Kluyveromyces lactis: one gene and its partner. The protein of the gene in region 1 interacts with the protein of each later gene in a biochemical or structural test. Links are inferred from orthologs where the notes say so. Each region holds a gene or a part of one and is shown in the gene's direction. Other genes may lie near its edges.

Region 1 (4,807 bases):
CAATCTGTTTATATTTTGCACACAAAGAAAAAAAATTATAAGTAGAAAAATAGTATAGTACAAGCGTGTGAGAGTGTATTCGTGCTATTTCCCAGGCTATAAGTCTGAATATTTCTTGCTTTTAGTAGACCAAAATACAAACCCTTTACGTCACACTTAAAAAATAACCTGGCTCTCGCTATTATCACTGAGCTAAAGTACGATCAATCGTTCCAGGTTTATAACCTACTATCAAAATACAGAACCAATAATTCTCGCAGATCTTCGTTACCTATTTGTGTCCTTCTCTCCAAAAAAAACAACAAAGATGTTGACAATCAAACTTAAGTATCGTGTTAGTAGAATTCTAAACATTTATTTATTTCAATTTTTTTTTTTCTGTTTCTTCAAAACCAATGCAAACGTTTATTTGTTATTTTTAATTTTTTTTTTTTTTTTTTCAACGGAATCTGCGGGCGTTTTTAGCGGAATCTCTCAGTAATGTCGACATTTTGGCAAACCGTCAGTTTTATGTCAAGATGCTGTATCTATTTAGTACTATGTCTACCCTATATCTAATTACTCTTGTGTATGAACGTCTCCATTGAGTCTACTTGTACAGGTAGGTCTGTGGAGTAGCTCTTTATTTTATCTCCTGGCATATAGAATCTTCTCTCTGACAACCTGCATCATGGAAGAAACGATAAAATATCACAGGATTCTTGCCTTCTTCTATTACGAATCAAAAACTCGAGGGGTGATAATACGAAGTGGAGGGAGGCGATGAATTCACCCTGACCGGGGAAAAAAAAACTGATGTCTGTGTTCGTGTTATCTGCTGCAAACACTTCTCTGTTGGATTTTCAGTGGAACAGAGGCAGGTAAAGTATGCAAAGCATTGGCGCTCGCACCACCATGTTAATCAGGCTTACTTCATCATTGCTTTTTCTTTTTTTCTACTGTTTCCTTTCTTTCTCTCAGCTGTAAGTTTCTGTGTGTGAATGTTCGTTTCTATCTTTTTTTTTTCCCTCGAGTGCTTAAGAATTGCCTTGGGGCTAATTCTAATGATATTACGGTATGCGATTTGCCAGATTCAGCAAATATGCGAGTCGTACGTTGCTTCTGGGACGAGTTTGTGATGATGGCTTGAGTCGACGTTTTTTTCGAAAGAAAAAAAAAAAATATTTCGTTACCTTCGCATAACAGCCGAGACGGTATGACAGCAACACCCTTGTATACCATGGAGTGAGCGAAGACGCGTGGTAGTGTACAGTGTAGAGCGTACGGTTTTTATTCCTATGAATGAGCCACATCTTTTGGTCAATTGGTCACGTGATCATTCTGATCTTGTTGTTTCTCCGAAAGAAATATTGAGGTACGTACGTCACCTTGGCAAGTTTCTCCGCCCGGAACAACTCTGATCTTGATTAAAAAGAAACGACTGCATTTTCCTCGAAAAAGAAAAGGTATTGATGTGATTTTCTACATGGCTAAACATTTACCTATGATGATGGATCCTGATTCATTTCTGATGAAAAAAGCGTTTGCTGAAGCCCGAAATACTACAAAGGCTAACCTTAATACATTGTTGCAAGCTTGGAGATACTGATTAGCATCAGCAAATTATAAGAATACACGCATCAAACAAGGGAACTTGCACTGATCTCTGAGTTGAAAATAAGATGACGATGGAGGAAGGTGGGTTCATCAGAAGGACAAGGCAGAGCGGGAACCGGACTCGAACTGCCAAGAAGAATGTCGTATACATTGAATCAAGTTCAGGTGAGTCCGAGGATGAGCCATTAGTAAAGAAAGAAATTAAGAGCAATAAGGGTAACGCAAAAGCCAATGACAAGGGCAAGTGCAAAACCAAGGGCACAACTAAGGCAAACCGAAATTTGGATTCGGATTTAGAGTATGATGATTCTTTGGTTCTCTTATCGGATCAGACGGACAGATCTGGTGATGAATCAAGTGATGAGCTCAAACGTGAACAGGTAGTCGAACTGATATCCTCTTCTGATGATGATGAACCTCTGCAAAATGGACCGCAAAAGAAGAAGAGAAAGGCTAATGGTAGGGCTGGTGGTGCCACTGCTACTAAGAAGAAGCCGACAAAACCCAAGATCTCTCCTTTCGAAAGAAACACAGCAAAGTTGTATGCTCATCATTCAGAACTTATCGATGTGTTCAAAAAATTACAGGAATCGCCGATACGGCAGGTGGAAAGAGCTCCTCAGCCTGATGGTATGGCCATTAGATTATTACCTTTTCAGTTGGAAGGTTTGCACTGGTTGCAACAACAAGAAGAATCGGATTATAATGGTGGTGTGCTTGCTGATGAGATGGGTATGGGTAAAACCATACAAACGATAGCTTTGCTGATGAGCGATATCACAAGGAAACCATCTCTTGTCGTGGCACCAACAGTGGCGTTAATGCAGTGGAAAAATGAAATCGAACAACACACAAACAAGAAATTATCCGTATACATGTACCATGGAGCTAATAGAACGAACAATCTAGGTGATTTCAAAGACGTTGACGTTATCTTGACCACTTACGCTGTTTTGGAATCCGTCTATAGAAAACAAGTTTATGGTTTTAAAAGAAAGGCTGGAACAGTAAAAGAAAAGAGTTTATTACATTCTATCAACTTTTACCGAGTAATTTTAGATGAAGCTCATAATATCAAGGATAGAACAAGTAACACTGCCAAAGCTGTTAACTCCCTCCAGACGAAAAAAAGATGGTGTTTGTCTGGTACACCTTTGCAGAATAGAATCGGTGAAATGTACTCTTTGATTAGATTCTTAAACATTGAACCATTCACGAGGTACTATTGCAAGCAATGTTCTTGTTCATCTGAAAATTGGCGTTTCTCAGATTATTTACATTGTGATGACTGTGGTCATGTTGGTATGCAGCACACAAATTTCTTCAATCATTTCATGTTGAAAAACGTTCAAAAACATGGCATTGAAGGACCGGGTCTACAATCTTTCCAAAATATTCAGACCTTATTGGCTAGGATCATGTTGAGGAGAACCAAGGTGGAAAGAGCGGACGACCTTGGATTGCCACCAAGAATCGTTACTGTTAGAAAGGATTACTTCAACGAAGAGGAGAAGGATCTCTATCAAAGTTTATACTCGGACATCAAAAGGAAGTATAACTCTTATGTTGAGGAAGGTGTGGTTTTGAATAATTATGCTAATATCTTTACCTTAATCACTAGAATGAGACAGATGGCGGACCATCCTGATCTAGTATTGAAAAGGCTCAAGGGAAATAATGATAATAACCCCGGTGTTATTATCTGTCAGTTATGTGATGATGAAGCTGAAGAACCAATTGAATCCAAATGCCATCATAGGTTTTGTCGCCTCTGCATCAACGAATATATTGATTCTTTCATGGCAGATGAAAAAAAACTAACATGTCCGGTATGTCACATTGGACTCAGTATCGATTTACAACAACAAGCTCTTGAAGTTGATGAAGAACTATTCAAAAAGCAAAGTATTGTCAGTCGGTTAAAAATGGGAGGTAAATGGAGGTCCTCCACTAAGATTGAGGCTTTGGTTGAGGAGTTATACAACTTGAGAAGTGACAAGCGCACGATCAAGTCGATTGTCTTTTCCCAATTCACATCAATGTTAGATCTTGTTGAATGGAGATTAAAACGTGCAGGTTTCCAAACAGTTAAATTGCAAGGCAGTATGACTCCCACTCAAAGAGATCAAACAATTAAATATTTTATGGAGAATATCCATTGTGAGGTTTTCTTAGTTAGTTTGAAAGCTGGTGGTGTGGCTCTTAACTTATGTGAAGCTTCGCAGGTGTTCATCTTAGACCCATGGTGGAACCCCAGTGTTGAATGGCAGAGTGGTGATAGAGTCCATAGAATTGGTCAATTCCGGCCAGTGAAAATTACAAGATTCTGTATTGAAGATAGCATAGAGTCCAGAATTATCGAACTTCAAGAAAAGAAGGCTAGCATGATTCATGCAACAATCAATCAGGACGAGGCGGCAATTAATAGATTGACTCCGGCAGATTTGCAGTTTTTATTCAACAATTGATTTTATATCAGGATAAAATACATAAAGATGCATACTTCTTTTTAGTTACGGATGTTTATATACATCCATATTTATATTAAAAAGTATACTGTCCCTTAAATGTTTTCAAGCAGCAGCGGAACTACTACGAGCACCAGCTCCTGAAGAAACTAGCTTGATTTGCTCTTCAGACAATGATATTTGAGGTAAATTCAATTCACCAGTCGTTGGTGGAGGAGGCAAAAAGCCTACCTTATTCAAAAAGGCAATATAAATACCGATTTGTTCTGGGGTAGCTCCTTTCCCTGAAGAAACGTCAACACCTGTCCATTTTTTATCTTTTTGCAAGGATGAAGTCGCATTTGTATCATCTAATTCAGGAGCCCTGGTGTTCTCCGCTAAGCCATCCAATACCATATGTAACAATGGATACAAGGCATTATCTTCACCTCTTGCGATTACAGAATGTTCAAGAGATAACTTCCAGTCTGCATATTCTTGAATTTCAACGTTGTAGCCATACTTCTTCAATTGGTATAGATAATCTTTGAATAGGATACGCGGATGGCCCGTTACATGTGCAACAGCTAGCTCATGTTCGTTAGGAGGATTGAAAGCACTGGCTGTTACAACACGTGCTACATGATCAACAGGTACCATATTAACTGTGTTGCTGATGTTAGGGATTTGACCCAACTGTACCACCCCCTTTAAGAATCTTAACAAGAAATCATCAGTATTGGACGACCCATTGGATGAGGCAC
Region 2 (4,112 bases), on another chromosome or scaffold:
CAGACCCATTTGCATCACCATAATCATCATTTACACCATACTACAAGGGATAAATATTTCAAGGACCTAGATGAGGATTGGAGTGCAGTGATAGATGATTATAATATGCCGATACCGATGATTAATAACGGTGGTATAGAAACCACTCTGCGGCCTCCAGCTGTGATACAGGACGATCGAGCCATTGAATCACAGAAATCCTCAATGGATTCTTATCAAGGAACTATCCCAAATTTGAATAGGACCATCAGTAATGATTTGAAATTACAGTATCAGATTGAAGTGGAGAAGGATGTGCAAGAGTTGAATAGTTTGATGGTTAGAATTGAAAAGTTCAAAAAATTGATCAAACCAAAGGATTCCACCACGCAGGTGAACCTACCCGAGATCCGTAAGTTGGCTTGGAATGGTATCCCCATGGTACATAGACCTGTTGTATGGAAGCTTTTGATTGGATACTTACCGAGTAATTTGAAGAGACAAGAACAGGTATTGAACCGTAAAAGACTGGAATATAAGCAGGGTGTAGATCATATCTTTTCCGATAACCATGAGAAAGATGTAACAACTTGGCATCAAATTGAAATTGACATACCGAGAACCAACCCACATATTCCATTGTACCAATTCGAATCAGTTCATAATTCATTGAAACGGATATTGTATTTTTGGGCCATAAGACATCCTGCCAGTGGTTACGTACAGGGGATCAACGATCTAGTGACACCTTTTTTCCAAGTGTTTTTGTCCGAATACCTTTCACCATCGGCAAAGGATGACGTTTACAGTTTAGATCCGCTGACGTATTTGACTGCAGAGCAGTTGTCTGATGTAGAAGCGGATTGTTTCTGGTGTCTATCCAAACTCTTGGAACAAATCACAGATTATTTCATCCATGGTCAGCCTGGAATATTGAAACAAGTCAAACACCTCAGTCAGTTGGTGAAAAGAATAGATTGTGATTTATTCAGCCATTTCGAATCTGAGCACGTTGAATTCTTACAATTTAGTGTCAGATGGATGAACTGTTTGTTGATGAGAGAGTTCCAAATGTCAATGGTGATACGAATGTGGGATACATACCTCTCCGAGACTTCTTTGGAGACAAGCATAGTCTCAGAGGATCTCATGTCTGACGCATCGACTTCTCTGGATAGAAAGTCGAGAACATCGTCATCAGGGCCCTCATCTTCAGACTCCAGACAAACTACTCTCAGTGAATTTCATGTTTTCGTTTGTGCAGCTTTCCTAGTGAAATGGTCAGACGAATTAATGAAGATGGACTTCCAAGAGATAATTACATTCTTACAAAATCCACCGACAAAATCGTGGAAGGAATCTGATATAGAAATGTTACTAAGTGAAGCTTACATATGGCAGTCGTTGTACAAAGATGCTACTTCTCATTGGAGGTGATCTTTGAAGGGAGAATACTAAAATTTAATACTTTCACATATATCTAATATATAATGTAAACTGCCTGATTCAAACAACTGTATTGTGGAGAATGAATAACTAACAGCCCACCTGCAGGTTCCGTGAATCTTCTAGCATACTTCTCCTCGCATATCTCTTGCTTTTTTTCTCATCAGTAGCATCATTATTGTTTGCAGTGTCTGAAATTATTGTTAGCAAATAATTAATCAAAACTTAATCTCATCTCATCTCAATGAAGTTGCTGGTAGATAAGGTAGTCTCGACTGGCGGTTAAGGGGCTATTCCACGAGATATCGACATGTATAGAGCAAGGAGTCGTCGGAACAACGATGGTAGTGGCGTAAGAGGACCAAACAGTGCTTTGACCCAGTTTTTAAAGGAACAAGGTATTAGTGCTGAGAATATTAGAGATAGATGGTTAGAAGCTCAAAAGAAGGAAGCCGAACATCCACAAGAAACTCAGAAGGATGATTCTGAAACAGAATCTGATGAAGATCTTAAAGCAGGGGTAGCTGCAAAAAAACGGTCAAGAAAGCCCAGAGCTGTTAAGAAGCAGGAGTCGTCTTCTTCCGGAGAAAGTGATGATGATGAGGACGACGACGACGAAGATGACGATGACTACAAAGCAGAGGCGAGGCTTCGCCGGTTACGTGGTGCTGACCTAGAAGATTCTGATGAGGAAGAAGAAGTATTGCCGGTTTCTGATCGAAAGAAAAGGATGTTGACCTTGACTAATGGTAAGAAAACTTCTCCGCAACTAGCTAAGGCTCGCCATCAACAGAAGAAAACTAGAAGAAAGAAGGCTGCCAATCTTTTAGACAAGAAGGACTCACTCATTTCATCATTGCAGGATATATGTATTAAAGTTATCGGTAAATCTATTGTGGAATATAATGCACAATCGATGGTGGAACATATTAGAGATACTTTAGGTGGTGTATCTTTAGAAAACTTGAACAAACTAGCACAAGCTTTGACAAAAAATCGGGCCTTGAATGATGATACTTTACAGTTATTCTTGAACACCAGTTTAACTACTTTGACGTTTTATGACTGTTCAAAGTTGTCATATGAAGGCTACAAGAGACTTGCCATCTTTTCGCCGCATTTAGAGTCGCTTTCCTTACAGATGTGTGGACAGTTAAATAATGAAGCTCTCTTGTATCTAGCCGAAAAGCTACCAAACCTAAAAGAACTATACCTTGATGGACCGTTCTTAATTAATGAGGATACATGGGTTCAATTCTTCGAATTGCTAAAGGGTAGACTTACTGCTTTTCATGTTTCCAATACCCATAGATTCAATGATAATGCATTGTCAGCTATGCTTCGAAATTGTGGATCGTCCTTGGAATCTCTAGGTCTAGCAACTCTAGATACTGTGACAAATTACGCCCTATTACCGCAATATCTTAACTCTCCTAATTTCCACACTTTGATCTTGGAAGAGCCATCTAGAGAAACAGATATTAATGACGAGGTTATTATAAGTTTGTTAGGATCCATAGGCCAGAACCTTAGGAAGTTGTCGCTCAATAGATGCACTGGCTTGACTGATAGCTGTATAATTAATGGATTTTTACCATTTTTGTCTAACTCAGGGCAATCAATCCTTACAGACTTGGAATTAGAAGAATTGGATCAGATAACCACCGACGGCATAGTTCTATTATTCTCTTCGTTGCAGTTCCCTTTGTTGAAAAGATGTAGCTTGAAAAGATGTTTTGCTTTGGAGGATGCAGCCGTAGTTGAATTATTACTTAACTCCTCTTCCACCTTAGAAGAGTTGAATCTAAATGGTCTGAAATCCCTAACATCCAAAACTTTCACCTTCATGGCATGTCCTAACCTCAAGCAGCTAAATATAGGGTTTGTCCACTGTGTGGATAATGAAATTGTGGAAAAGATATCCAAGGACAATGAAAAGCTCACTATTATTGAAGTTTATGGTGATAATCAAGTCACAGGCAAATGCTCTCCTCGGAATGGTGTAAGCATTATCGGAAGGCAAAGTGACAGTATATAAATGATTAAAAAAATTCTAGGATCATGAAAATGCTTGAGTGTGAGAATGCCCTTTCAGCTACTACTTTAAATAATCTATAGACATGTAATCATCAAATTTAGGTTTCTGATGGATCTTTTCTAAATTTCTAAAAGTAGGCAAAGGTGCTGGATTGAGCTGCTTCGATGCAAGCGTCTCTATTATAGTATTTTTAATTTGAGGCTTATCAATGAACAATCCAGGATGACCGTTCGATCTATACTTTTCTGATTTATACCAGTCCTTGGTTAGCTTGGCGTTCGGCCTCCATGTTGGGTTGTTGATTTTGAACCTATTGTGAACTATTGGGTCAAACCCAAAACGGGATTGCGATAAATTGGTTTCGTACTCGGAATAATCTGCATTGATTAGATAAAACCCTTGGAAATCTCGTACGATATCATTGATAACTTTTGTTGGTAATACGATCTCAGTGCCTAATTGATCGACAAACTTTGTTAATCTGGCGATATTTTTTTGAGTCTTTTCAAACTTGTAGTAAGTCAACCAAAATAAGACTGAAGTCTTGATCGGATCCAATTTGGCGAAGTATGTAAAGTGTTTCCTGCATTGAATGACGTTCTTCAATACCAGCCAATGCACTTTTATTAGTTCAACTACCAGTATCGGA

Evidence for each region. The genes of interacting proteins can lie anywhere in the genome.
Region 2: the proteins of RAD16 (region 1) and RAD7 form a complex in vitro, tested with the Saccharomyces cerevisiae proteins (2 studies listed by BioGRID). The link is inferred for Kluyveromyces lactis from reciprocal best matches to the Saccharomyces cerevisiae genes RAD16 and RAD7.

What each region holds. Positions count from the first base shown.
Region 1 is NC_006038.1:809,435-814,241, reverse strand, and holds RAD16 (DNA repair protein RAD16), read left to right. Parts: upstream 1-1,667; coding exon 1,668-4,064; downstream 4,065-4,807. Other genes in the region: LYS2 (L-aminoadipate-semialdehyde dehydrogenase), read right to left, coding at 4,170-4,807.
Region 2 is NC_006037.1:709,496-713,607, forward strand, and holds RAD7 (UV-damaged DNA-binding protein RAD7), read left to right. Parts: upstream 1-1,735; coding exon 1,736-3,463; downstream 3,464-4,112. Other genes in the region: GTPase-activating protein GYP1, read left to right, coding at 1-1,416; PRP39 (Prp39p), read right to left, coding at 3,524-4,112. UniProt on the Saccharomyces cerevisiae protein: Component of the global genome repair (GGR) complex which promotes global genome nucleotide excision repair (GG-NER) which removes DNA damage from nontranscribing DNA.